Tamandua tetradactyla: one gene and its partner. The protein of the gene in region 2 interacts with the protein of the main gene of each other region in a biochemical or structural test. Links are inferred from orthologs where the notes say so. Each region holds a gene or a part of one and is shown on either strand. Other genes may lie near its edges.

Region 1 (6,865 bases), on a different chromosome or scaffold from region 2:
GATGCACTGGAAACCAGAGACCAATTTAGAGCTCAAATCTTAATATCTAGCAACAAAACATTTACAGTTGTGCAAGAACATGGATTCCATTTCCATAACCAAGTAACAACAAAATAAAACATTTTAAAGATAACTTACATCTTTGGACTGCTGGAAAATACTTTTAATTATGAACATTTCAAAAATAAAAGACAGCAGAAGCCCTGATATTACCTCTTCTCCTCATTTCTTATACTACCTTTTAAAATAAAGCAGGAAATGTGGCCAGGAGCTGGTCCCGTCTCTTCTGCCCCAACAGCTGTATCCACTTTAGCACAAAGAAAAACAAGGATGCTAAATACGTATATACTTTATAAAACAGTGATGTTTCACAAAGAATTTCTTAATGCTTCTTACACTGAAAGACACTACTATATCAATTCACACAACTGGACAACAGCTTAATAAGAGTACTTCAAAAGAATATGTCCCATTTTTGGAAAAATCATGCCATTTAAGTGGTCAGATCCATTTAATTAAAAAATTTTTAAAGCGGCCAAATGCCTTTGAAATAACGAAAATAAGATTCTTTGTGAAGCCTCACTTTACACTTTTTCATTCACATTTCACAACCTTCAATATCTAATCATACATACATAAATTTAACCTAAAATTTTAATACAGCAAAAATAAAGATGTTCAACAATTTATTCATACTCAGTGATAAGGTAATCACTATGCTGGTCCTCAAAGAAACATTTCATTAAACGTTCTTATTCTTCCTCCAATCAACTAACACAAGAATGTAATATGCAAATTAATTTTCAACTTCTCTAATGGTGAGATATTAAAATCTGCTAATCTGAGCACTCTGTATCTTAGACTGAAAACTAACTGAATAAAGAGATTTGTCATCTCTACAAAATATCACATTGTTCATGCCCCTAATACTTATTGCCAACCTCTCAAAAGTTGCTATAAATTGAAATTCCAATTTGCATCTTGTACAACTCGGAACTTCCATTCAACTTCACCTGTTTCACTGTGTCCAAACTGTATCTCTATAAGCAGGTTTCAGTGTACAGTTGGAACCGATGTCATCCAAGGCCATGTCCACACTGGGGACAGAAGAGCTAGGTACACGCAAGTCTGAACAAGGGGACACATTAGCAGCTATTTCAACCATAAGAAGCATCTTAAACACATTATTTGACCAGCACAAGTCTGTTTCCAGGGTGGACAGGGCCCAAATTCGATTTCCCCTCCCACTTTCCAAAAAAGAAAAAACAAAACAAAAAAAACACACACACACAATTGAGATGTTGCCCATTAAAGTAGACTAAGCAGCAGAGCATGAGCGTTACGTGAAGAGATGGATCCTTACCAGGTTGTGAGGCGGGAACCACTGTTCTGTAACCCCTACAACGGAGCCTGGCAGGAAGGAAATCACCTAAAAAAGAAACTGTCAGAGAGATTTAATAGTCACATGTTATCATTAGGAGTTGGTTACAGTGTCACATTCATGCTTTTAGCTAAACATTAACGATTCAATATTACTTTTTCCTCCTCTGACATGTGTCCAGTGAAGATGTCCCACTAAGGTGTTTTACATGGTGTAAGGGAGTTGAAAGGGGTAAACGTGGATAAAGAGCAGATTACTTGACCCTACATTTTAAGAGAAGACGACGCCTTCCGGGCGCACGCCGAGCAGAACTCCACCGACACCTTATCCTTGTCCACATGAAGACACACTCCTCCCGCTGAATCGTCCTCTTCCAGCAGGTCCTGCTGCTGCTTTCCCACAGGCAGAGCGTAGTCATGGTCACCGGCAGGCGAGTCTCTGAAGAGAGAGGTGGTCAGCCGCAGTCCCACGCCGCTCAGCCGGCTCAGCAAGCGAGCCAATCCGGTCTCGTTGGCTAAGACAGCACGTAGATAGCGACTCTCCTCCTGCAGTGCTTGCACGCGTTTGCCCAGCTCCCGATTCTCGGCCCGCAGCTCCTGGTTCTCGGCTGCTAGACCCCGGACCCGACTCTCCAGCCCCATTACATACTCCTTCTTCTTCAGCCGATTAAGACGGGCAGCGGCCGCCGCCGCCTTCCGAGGACTCTTTGTCGCCGCCTGGTTGTTGTCGTTGCCGCTGCCACTGCCTCCTCCCGGGGATTTTCTCCGCCTCTTTTCGCTACTGCCACTGTCAGTGCCGCTGCTGCAGCCCCCGATACCGTTTAACAGCCTCTGCAGCAGGTCTGAAAAGCGCTGCATCTCGGCAGCCGCAGCTTCGTCATCGTCGTCCCCTCTCCAAAGGCCGCCGCTATCCGAGCCGCCGCCGGACGAGGAGAGCGGACCGGGCGAGCTGAGCCCGGGTTCCAGGTGCCAGTCCGGTTGCCGGGGGTCCAGCAGATCCGCCAGTTCCAGCCCGGACAGAAAGTCCATGTCCTCCGGCTCCTCCCCCGGGACACTAGCGATAGCCTCCTCCTCCATTGCCTCAGGAGAGGGCGCGCGCACGGCCACGCCGCCGCGGCTCCCCCTCCCGGCCTCCAACTCGCCCTCGTCGCCGCGCGGCTGTTTGCGGCCGGGAGATCCGGCCGCCGCCGTCTCCTCCGCAGCCGCCGCCGCCACCGTCCGGATCACGTCTGGGGGCAGCGAACAGGCCGAGCCTGGCGCTGGACTCTCGCTGCGGGTCGGAGAGTCTCTGCCCGAGGCCGCCAGTAGCTTGGTCAGGCTATGCCTCATGGGGCCCGGCGGTGGGCCCACGTAGGCCTCGGCCCCTCAGACCGAGCCTCGCGGGCCCCACGGACCCCAGCGCGGGGAGCCGGGGCGTTGGCTGGAGGGAAGTGTAGGGGAAGGTCCAAGGGGCCTCCCGCCTCTCTTGGCTGGTCGACCCCCCGCGCAGGGCGGGGGGTAGGGATGGGAGAACGATGAGGCAAAGCCCAGCGATGACTCGGCCGCACCGCTCAGACGACGGCCTGGCCGGAAGTCCGTCGCTCTGATCTAGCCCCTCCTATCGCGTTTCGCGCTCCTGCAAGGTCTAACATCGCGAGAATTCAGAATGCTCTGGAGCGGGAGTAATTCTAGGTCTCCAATGATGTCATAGTAACAGCGGCAAAAATAACATACCTACCCCAGATTTATTTTAGTAATGGTCTACCCTCGCTGCACTTATTTCTTAGTCCTCTGTACCACAGCTTCCACTCCCAGTGAAGCCATTCTCAAAAACTGATCTTCTAGATTACCGTATGTTTTTATAATTTTAAACAGTTATTCTGTATTTCTCTGGAATTTAAAATTGATCACCAGATCCCTCCTGAGTTGCTGCTTTCCCACTTCCTTTATAAGATCGTTTCACTCAAACACTTATAGAGTAATACAGAAAATTAGGTAAATAATCATTAATATGTAACTTTTCCAAGTTTTTATTATGAAAATTACCATAGAGAAAATTTGAAAGATTAGTATAGTAACCACCCTGATTCAACAATAGTACCAAATGCCCAGATGCAACAATTCAAAAAGCTGTTAATATTGCTTTATTTAGATATGTGTAAACGTAAGTTTTTTAAATCATTCTTAAATTGCAGACGAGACACCTCACTCCTAAATACCTCAGCATGCATCTCTAAAACTGACAGGCTCCTTCATTATCATACTATTAACAACTCCTGAGAAAATTAATCATTTCCAAATATTATCTAATACCCAGACTGTAATCAAACTTCCTCAGTTGTCTTTAAATTAAATAGCTTTTATACTTTGTTTTTTTTTTTTTTTTTTACCAGAATCACTCAATGCATTTAGTTGTTGTGGAGGGTTTTGTTTGTTTGTTTGTTTGTTTGTTTGTTTGTTTTTCTCGTTTCTTAAAGTGAAACCATCCCATCCATTTTTTTTCTTTTAATATTAACTTTTCAAAAAAGACCAGTTCAGTTGTCTTGAAGTATGCTCACGTCATGGATTTGTCTGATTATTTCATCATGGGTATAAAGATCATTGCAAATAACACAAACAATGCAGACATGTATAAATAAGTAAAAAGATACAGACATGTATAAACAAATAAAAAGATATTACCCACAATCTAAGTAGCCCCCAAAATTCCTTGTTCCTCCAGCCCCACAAGAAAATTAAGATTGGAAGCTGTTTACAAATATATTAGAATACAATGAAACAAAAGAATACAACGTTTGAAAAACAAGGCCAATGAAAATACAGATGAAATAGAAATCTAGGGGCTCAGAAAGGGGAGAAAGTTAGTATTGAATTGTATGGACATAAAGTCTTACACCATTATTCAAGGTGGGCTGTAAAATAGACTAAGTTTCTTGGTGTCCATAGAAAAGATGAGAATCAAACTTCCGTTTGTTTGCTCATGATTAAAGTATATACGAATTCCCTGGGGAAAACCATATTTCTAGTTCTCAGGTTTTATAAAAACTTTTGCATGGGCTACTGAATAAGTATATTCAGTGGTATTTAACAGGCTTTGTATGGCTGTTTCTTAGAGGGCTAGAAAGCAAGTTCCAGAAAAGCAAGGTAACTGATGTGTCCAAAATATCCAGAACAGTGCTTGGCATAAGTATAGATTTCAACAAATATTTGCTGAATGAATGAAAAATGAAGGTCTCCAGTTTGTGTTGAATGCCTAACATGAAAGCTCAATTGAATGAAAACAATACTGAAAAGGGCAAAAATAAGTACGACCTACGGTAATAAAGAGACTCCATGTCCTTCTTAACCTCTTTAGGAAAGGTGTTGTTGAAGTACAACAGCACACAATTCAAGGTTATACACACTCTGGCTTGCCCTGAGTTCTTCAAGTGTTCTGTGTGACTGGTAATCCCATCTGACTGCATTTTCTCCTTCGGCAAAATTTCACTATTGAATTGATTTATTATATTTTTTTCTTAAATTACAAAATTTTGGTTTGAATATACATGGATTTGGAACCTCTCCAATTAAATTAAGAGAAAAGCAGAAAATGGAAAGGAAGGGAAATTTTTACAATGTATCCTCAGAGGAAAAAAAAAGAAATCCAAGCAAAAGAAAACCTCCCAGAAGATGACTCCTCTTCCTCTTTCTCTGTTCTTCCTTTTCTTCTTATTCCTCTCCCTGTCTTCTTCTCCACAGCTGTTATTTTTAATAAGTAAAAAGATACAGACATGTATAAACAAGTAAAAAGATATTACCCACAACCTAAGTACCCCAAAAATCACCATTATTAAAATTTTGGCGTATATTGTTTTTTAATAAGTAAAAAGATACAGACATGTATAAACAAGTAAAAAGATATTACCCACAATCTAAGTACCCCAAAAATAACCACTATTAAAATTTTGGTGTATATTGTCAAGAGCTTTTTCTTTGAATGCTACTGTTTTGGCATGAACATATTGTGGACATCTTTCACACAACCAAATGTAGATCCACATGCTTATTTTTAATTGCTGTCTAAAATTCGATTGCATGGACTTTCAAACTTTTATTCAACCTAATTCCTTATTGATAACACTAAGATTGTATTGAAGTTTATACTATTATAAGCAACACTATAATGTTGAGCAAACATCTTGTTCATTTATCTTTAAGGTAAAATCTTAGAGGTAGAATTCCTGGGTGCGATTTGCATACATAGACCCTTATTACCTAACAAAGACTTATCAGTTTATACTCTCAGCAATGGTATATGCCTGTTTTTTTGTTTCCTACCCACTCAATGATACTGAATGCATTGTTTTTAATATGTGCTAATCCAAAAATCAAAAATGGTACCTTCTGTTTGCAGTTCTTTGATTACTGAACGGTTGAATATTTTTTCTCATGACTACTCTTCTAATGTGACTAAGCTTTTTGCCTCCTTAGCCCATTTTTCTTTTAAACTGGGCAAAAGGGTTTGTCTTGTATTTTCCTCCTGGATTTATTTGAGCTCTTTGCTTTATAAGGAAAACACTCCTTTGTCGGTTATATAAGTTCCAACTACTTTTTTCCTAGTTGACCATTTCTTTGAGGGGGATGGGGGAGGCTGCTTATTTCCTTGCTTTGCTATAATTTTTAAATAGTTGGTCTATTAAATTATATTCACAGTTTTGGCTTTGGTGCTAAGCTTCTAAAGGCCCTCCTAGCCCAAAATAACTAATATTACCTGCTTTTAGCAGCTTTTAAATTACTTCTATTTATATTTTGCTAAGAATTTCTAACAACCTGAGTGGCTATTTCATTTAAACCTTTTTCCATTTGAGATCGATTCTGGTATAAATGTGTGGTAAGAATTTATCTTTTCATAAGGTTATCTGCAACAATGCAATTTATTGAACAGTCCATACATGTCTCCCTGATTCCCCAACATGTATGCTACATGTGAAGTTCTTATATCACTTGGATCTATTTCTGATCTTTTTCACTGATCAATCTAACCATCCTGGAACGAAAACCACTCCATTTTTATTGCAGTTTATAATAAACTTTAATATTTCATGGGGCAAGTCTCTCCTTGGTAGTTTTATTTTCTGAGAATCTTCTTGCTATACTTGAATATTTAGATAACTTCTAGATAACATTAGAAAATTTTCCCAGTTCAAAAAATCCTGGAATTTTTGTGGAAATTGCATTAAACATATTAATATATTTTTACCAGGTATTTTACACAAATTTTTACTGCTGGGATATATTATTTCTTCATTTGTATTTTCTAAGTGGTTATTGTTGCTATACAAGAAAACTATTGATCTTTTTGTTAAATGTTTAGGTGACTATCTCACTGAATTTTCTTAATAGATTTTTTTTTCAGTTTATTCATTCATATTTTCCTAGTAGACAATCATATCACTGATTGTTTCAGTTTCCTGGCTGCCAAAGCAAATACATGCAATGGGTGGCTTAAACAATGGAAAAGCTCACG
Region 2 (6,558 bases):
AACGAAGGATGCTCCTCCCAGTCATCCTACAGGACTAGCAGTAGCTTACCATTCAAGGGATACCCCACCCTCGTTCCTGGAAGAACACCCAGCCAACTGCCAAAGTTCTGAGTACACACTTCTACTCATAACTGGCGGCCCAATGCAAGCCACCTGTTTATACCACCAGGCCATATCAAATCACACCAATAGGAAAACACCCCTAGTAACACAAGGTAGGTTAAAAAGCCATCTCCAGGGAAGCTTTAACAATGGATGGTGACATCACTGAATTGCCTGACTGGATAAAGTGGTAGATTTTTGGTTAAGAAAACTTTAGTATCATCCAACCCTAAACCGCTTTAACGGATGGATCTTAGTACAATCTGAAATATCTTACACAAGGTTAAACATTGCTGGGGAAAGAGTATGGTAGGTATATGGGAATTCTGCTTTCTGCATTTTTTGGCAAACCTACAATTGTTCTAATTTTGAAATGTAGTTCCAAGATTTATTCAGAGGCAAAGAAATCAGATACTTTCACTACAAAATAATTTATTACAACACATTCATAGCAAGCCTATGTACAAGCAAACACACTCTGGACTACAAAACCTAGGGGACCCTTTTCTTCCCTCTTGCCTTGCGGACCTCTTCTATCAGATCCTTCAGATACTGGATCTCCTTTGCCAAGGAATCCGCCCTCTCTTTCAGAGCCTCATTCTTCTTTTCCAGCTCTTTACACTCTCCAGTGAGGGCCTCCTGCTCTGCCCTCTTTTTCTGGCGGTACCTAGTGGCTGCTGTCTTGTTCTGCTCCATTTTTTTCAACTTCTTGTCCAATTTCTCTCCCTTTACTTTTGCTGCTACCACTTTCTCCCCAGGAGGGTCATAAGGTTTGGGGCGGGTTGAGCCACAAAGAGTACCTGGAGATGGCAGGCTCCCATTTGGAGAGCCCCTGGAGGTAGAGGGGCTATGCTTGGGAGAGGCCAGATAGGGCTCAGGGCTCATACAAATGCCACTATCGTTATCTGAGGGGGAATCCTCCTCCTTTATGCACTGAGGGATCACTGTAACATAAACAGAGTCCACTTTCCTCTCTCCTTCAGAGATGTCCACCTCACTGCCTAGTTCTAAACTAAAGGAATGATCTGGAGTGGATGACAGGGCCCCAAGAGAATGGGAAAAAGGTTGGAGGAACGTGAAGGGGGCAACATGGTTAGTTTTTGGTAAACTTTCTGAGAGATGGCCAATTGGGTTCTCTGTCTGGGAGGGCTCCTTATCCTGGACTAGGGGGTCAAAGAGATCACAGGTGTCATCCAATGTGGCCAAAAGCTCTTCGGGCATGGTTTCTAGGTCACCTAAACTGAAGAGGGCGTCAAAATCAAACTCCTTCAGATCCATTTTCTCCACCATCCAATCTGTCCCGGAGAAGGCATCCTCTGCAAAAGATGAGAGTAAGAATTGCAAGACAGCCATCCTCTATCACCAGAACCCCTGATAAGTGGACCCACACTGACAGATAAAGGACTTCTACTCACCCTTGCCGATGTCTGGGCCACTGACCAACCCATCCACAGCCAGCCACTCGGAGGAGCCCGTCTTAGCCTTGTCGCCGGAGAACCCATGCGGTTTGAAGTGCTTGGCCACCTCCAGGTAGTCATCTAAGAGACCCAGGCTTTCTTCAGCCCCCAAACCCGACTGGTCGAAGGGGGACATCAAGTGCCCCGCCAACACCTCGCTGCTCAGGAAGCTCCTCTCGGTCATGTTGCCGGGTTTTGCTGAACTCGGGGAATGTGCTTAATTCGTAGGTGTCTTTGTCGGTTACAGCAATGCTGCTGCTGAATGCCGTGAAAAGCCTGGGTAGGAATCCGAAACAAAGCACCATTGGAGACGACCTTGACTGAGAATTTCATCTTTCTATTCGTGAGGAACGGTGGCCAAATTGGAAAATCACTGAGCTGTCCTCTTAGAATGGGGGCCATGGCGTTCCAGGGTCAACCTTTCCCGCTTCCGGTGTTAGGAAACACAAAATGGAGGCCCACGGAGACTCGGCTATTCCCTCACCGGCCACCGAGAGAAGGCGCTCCAGCCGCACGTCCAAATACGGCCAGAGCGGCCGGGGCCCCGCCCCGCTCCCGCCCTGCCCGCCGCCATCTTGGCCCCCGCCACGTTTCGCGGAACACAGGGTGGGACCCTCGACGCGCTGAGGGGGCGGCAAGCCGAAGAGCGTCTGCCCTCGAACCCGTGCGCTGCTGTCGCGACTGAGGGGCGTCTCGGGGACACTAAATAGAGACCACGCGCCTCGGGCGCGCTCGTAAAACCGCTTCCCCCTCCGCGACGCTGCCCTGGCTGTAAGGCCACGTCCAAGTCCCTCCGAACCAGGGACGAGAGGAGCCCGAACAGCCGGGCCCCGTACTTACGCCATGGCTTAAGCCGCTGGGGGTTGCCGCTGCAGAGCCTGGTGCTGCTGCCGCTGCTGCAAAAGCCAATGCTGCCGCAGGCACTGCTGCCTCTAATACGCCATGGCGGCTTCGGACCCTGCGGGAGGGGAGGTGGGGAAGCCCGGGGCACTAGCTGATGTCAACATATATGGACAGAGGCGAAATGGCGGAGGCGCGCGCAGCGTGGGTCCTTTATAGACTTTACCTCGACAGTCACATCACAGAACGCATCCTTCCGCCGCCGTCACGTGACCGTCATTACCAGCCCCTCGTTTTCGCCTGTGTGACACACTTATCGGTTCCAGCCCACGGCCTTGATGTCTGAGGTATAACTAGGATGAGAAAATGAGTTATTTTAAAGACCTCACGAAATGAGAAAAAGCGCACTCCTTTACGAGGCCTCTAAGATCAAAGAGTCCACCCTTCCCCCTCCCCCGCCGCCGGTGAGCGCGGAAGGATCCGCCAACACAGTGTAAATTCGGTAGGAGGGGAGAGAAAAGCCCTTCGTAGGAAGGCCGATGTCACCTGGTTGTCGCGCGAGACGGTAGCTAGGGCGCGCGTCGAGTTGATTGGCCCAGGCATGGTGAGTCATATATATCTCCTACTTCGATTGGCTCAAGTCCTAGGTGGGCGGATTACTCGTTTAGGAGCGTCTGATATGCGCGGGAAGGGGCGGGGCGGCCAGCATGTTTCCCTCCGCTCAGCTGCGCTACCCACTTACTTTTCTCGGAATTCTGGCCAGACCGCGCAGATTTCCTGCCTTGGGCAGCTCGATCCCAGTGCGGTACGAAGTTCCTTCCTGCCGACTTCCGCGAGGCGCCGAAGCGGCAATCGGGTCCATGTCTGAGTCGAGCTTTCTGTCCCCGGATTCCCCCACCCCCTCCGCCCGTCTTGTGCTCCTTCTTCTGTACAGATTAGGCAGAGTTCAAACCTGGAACGGCCCTCGGAAGTTACCCGGCCCGGAAATTACTTCGTTTTACAAAGCGATCCCGTAGCGGGTGCCGACTCAGTCTATCAGGGACACCATTAAATAGCTAATAAAAAATTGCCCCCGAGAAGGCTTGGGAGTCAAGTGTATTAATATAGGAAAAAGTGAACGGCAAACTTATACTAAAAATGCTTTGGGGCACTAACACGAAGTTAGAGAAGTTGAGTAGAACGTGGGCATGCTGAATAATCCACCGACTTCAGTAAAAACAAGAAAACCCAGCTTTTTCTTGCTGTGCAGGTTCTCCTGGCCGGCCAGAGAGCCGCTCCTTGTGAATTCTCTTTAGGCCAACGAGGGAGGGCTTAAGACAAAACTAAGCAAAAAAGGGAAGCCACTTAATGTGTGTATTCACCCCATGAGATCTCTTAAAAGTTGAACGGGGAAACTGGATGGACACTCATTTTGGGTCCTCATCTTGGTAGGTCACCTGATCCATGCCTGCCTCTCTCAAAGGCCACCTCCAGTAAAGTCGAATAAGATGCACAATCCTATAGCCTAACTTGCACTTTTACGTTATCCATTCTGCTAAAGTAAGTTTCCTATTAAGGCATGCAGTTTTTCATAAGGGAACTTTTTTTGGATTTTATAGATTAAATTCTCCTAACAAAGGATTTTATTCGACTGGCATCTTGTAGACTCTTGAATTACTTTCAACTAATTCCCAGGCATAGCCAACTTCCCAACACATCACTAATGGCCCTGTGAAAAGCTCCAGGACCCACATACACTTACTGGTGTTTGGCGTTTCTGGAACCTGCAGTGTGAAACCTCGCTGCAGGGCCCGGGGAGGGGCAGGAGGCAGCAAAAGATTCGTTTCCTCCCCCATCTCAATGAGCCAATCAAGGATCATTGTTTTGAGGGCTGTGATGTTGAGGAACTTGGGAAGTACTGTCCTAGAGAACTACCGATCATTTGTTGACTGCATTCACTCTAGCCCAGTTCTTTCACAATGGCAAACAGGCCTAATGGGATGAGGCGTGTTGCCCAGTCAATAGTTTCCACTAGAGGCAGCATAGGATAGGGACTAGAAGACAGATTTGGGGGGCCAAACCTGAAAGAATCCTGGCCTCACCATTTATTAGCTGGGAGATTTTGGCTAAGTGACTCACTTCTTTGATCCTGCTTCCGCATCTGTAAAATGGGGCTAATGGAGGTATACTTCTAAGGATGAAATGAGATCATATATGGAAAGCACTCAGCAGTGTTTGGTACATGGTAAATGCCCAATAAAAGGTTGCTATTATTACTATTATGACTCAGATTTTCTGACCCGGACTTCCCAATCTCCCCCCCTCCCCCCCACCCATACACACACACACAAAATCTTTTACATCATCCTCCTTCCTGAGGGAACTCTGCTAATCTTTACTGGCAAATGAAGCCAGAAATTATGAAACATCAAATACACACAAGGCATACTGTATGCTGAGATAGAAGTGTGGCATTTTCCTTCCTCCTAGGGAATCACAAGTTTTGGAACATACATAAGTTGTCTAGTGTCCTGGGTACAAAATATTAAATTGTCTTGTGTTCTAGTCTTTTACAAGGTGTCCTGGGGGCCCACGGGGCATGGCCTTTTTGCTACAGCAGTGCTGACAGATGACCATGCAGATAGTTGAGAATTAAGAACAGTATTTAACACTGCCCCAGTTTTGATACTGAAGAGGTAATGGAAGAATGACTCCTGTGGCAGCTTGTCCCTTCCATTTTATTCTGGTAACCAAGATTAAATACTTCAAAGGTTCTCCAAGCTGAAAATGGAGACCCAGTACCATTCCCATAGGAAAATGTCTCATACCACGCACAAAAGTCAAAGTTGTTGGAGATTTTTATTTTCTTCTCCCCACTCTGTGGAAGGACATCATGTTCCCCAGCTTTATTTCCTCCCTCAAGGAGGAAAAAAAATAGCAATTCTCTAGGTCTCTGGGTTAAGATGCTCCTATATTGTCCTAGCCAAGACAGGACAGACTGACGACTGATTCCACATCAACTGCCACTGAAGGACAGCCATGTGACAAGGCAAGTTGTGGATTCAACCTCTGAGACCAAGAATTTAAAGATTACAAGGTGATCAAGATGAAAAGGTAGATAATAACCTGTAGGCTGTTAACCCCAAAACCCACATGTCTGGTATTTTGGTCACTTAGTCACCAGTATCTCAAAGGGCTACAGCCTCACAGCCTGGTGCAGGGTCAGCACTAACCTCAGTGCCTCTTACTCTTCTTCTTGACCTTTAACTTTAGGTAGGAAGGGCAGAACTCTAATCCTCCAAGAGCAGAAGTTCACAGCCAGGGTCAGAGACCCAAGTAATGAATAACTTAGCAGAGGGCTCCTGACACATGCAGTGATCCCTACTTACACAGTCTCTCTTGGAGAGGCCCTGATCCTGAATCTGATTCCTCGAAAAATTTTGAGCTCTTACCTTGAGTGGAATACAAAGGAGCAAAATCATCTCATTTAGACTGGCAGGGGCAAGTCCAAGACACTGTAGGCCTCTTCAGTGCAACTTTTCCAAACATGAGCTTTAACTTTTTTTTTTTTAAGTCACAACCGATCATATAAAGAAGAATACTGCTGTCTGAATTCTTATTTTAGGAAGGGGTGACAGAAAAGCAAAGCAAAAAAAAAAAAAACCAAACCTTTAGAGATTATTAGGGTTTTCAGGATAATGGGTGTATTATTTTTTAACCATTAGGCTGAGTATATGGTTTGCTAACCTAAATGGTGCAAAAAAACCCAATCTTCTCCAAACAGAGTAGGAACAGATACTATAACTTCAGGAAAAGGTGGGAGTTATGGAATAAAAAGGCAGGGTGGAGGGGAAATCCACTGCATCTGCATTCTAATTCTACAAATTAGAATGTTATCCCCTTCCATTCAAAAAATCTCAAATCACTTAATTATTTTCCACATTTTATGATAAATATGGCAGCCAAGAGAGTGGCTTGCCTAGTCAGAGGCAGCAAACTCTCTAGGACCTACGCTGAGAATTCCCACTGCTGGTTCCAATTCTGAGGACTTCTAAGAGGTTCTTACTGGTATTATGGCAAAATGATGGTTTTTGGTTTTGTGACATAGTTAAGAGATGCTCTTAGAAGTTCTTTAACAGAGGCAGTAAACTCATTTCCCCTGTGTATTTGGCTTTGATTT

Evidence for each region.
Region 1: the proteins of ATF4 (region 2) and CREBZF form a complex in vitro, tested with the Homo sapiens proteins (2 studies listed by IntAct, with this or other methods). The link is inferred for Tamandua tetradactyla from reciprocal best matches to the Homo sapiens genes ATF4 and CREBZF.

The regions. Positions count from the first base shown.
Region 1 is NC_135334.1:58,791,284-58,798,148, reverse strand, and holds the start of CREBZF (CREB/ATF bZIP transcription factor), read right to left. Parts: upstream 3,008-6,865; 5' UTR 2,710-3,007; coding exon 1,649-2,709; exon of another isoform or gene 1,442-1,648; coding exon 1,426-1,441; 3' UTR 1-1,425.
Region 2 is NC_135333.1:32,072,211-32,078,768, reverse strand, and holds ATF4 (cyclic AMP-dependent transcription factor ATF-4), read right to left. Parts: upstream 2,606-6,558; 5' UTR 2,400-2,605; intron 1,836-2,399; 5' UTR 1,744-1,835; coding exon 1,518-1,743; intron 1,419-1,517; coding exon 595-1,418; 3' UTR 518-594; downstream 1-517. UniProt on the Homo sapiens protein: Transcription factor that binds the cAMP response element (CRE) (consensus: 5'-GTGACGT[AC][AG]-3') and displays two biological functions, as regulator of metabolic and redox processes under normal cellular conditions, and as master transcription factor during integrated stress response (ISR).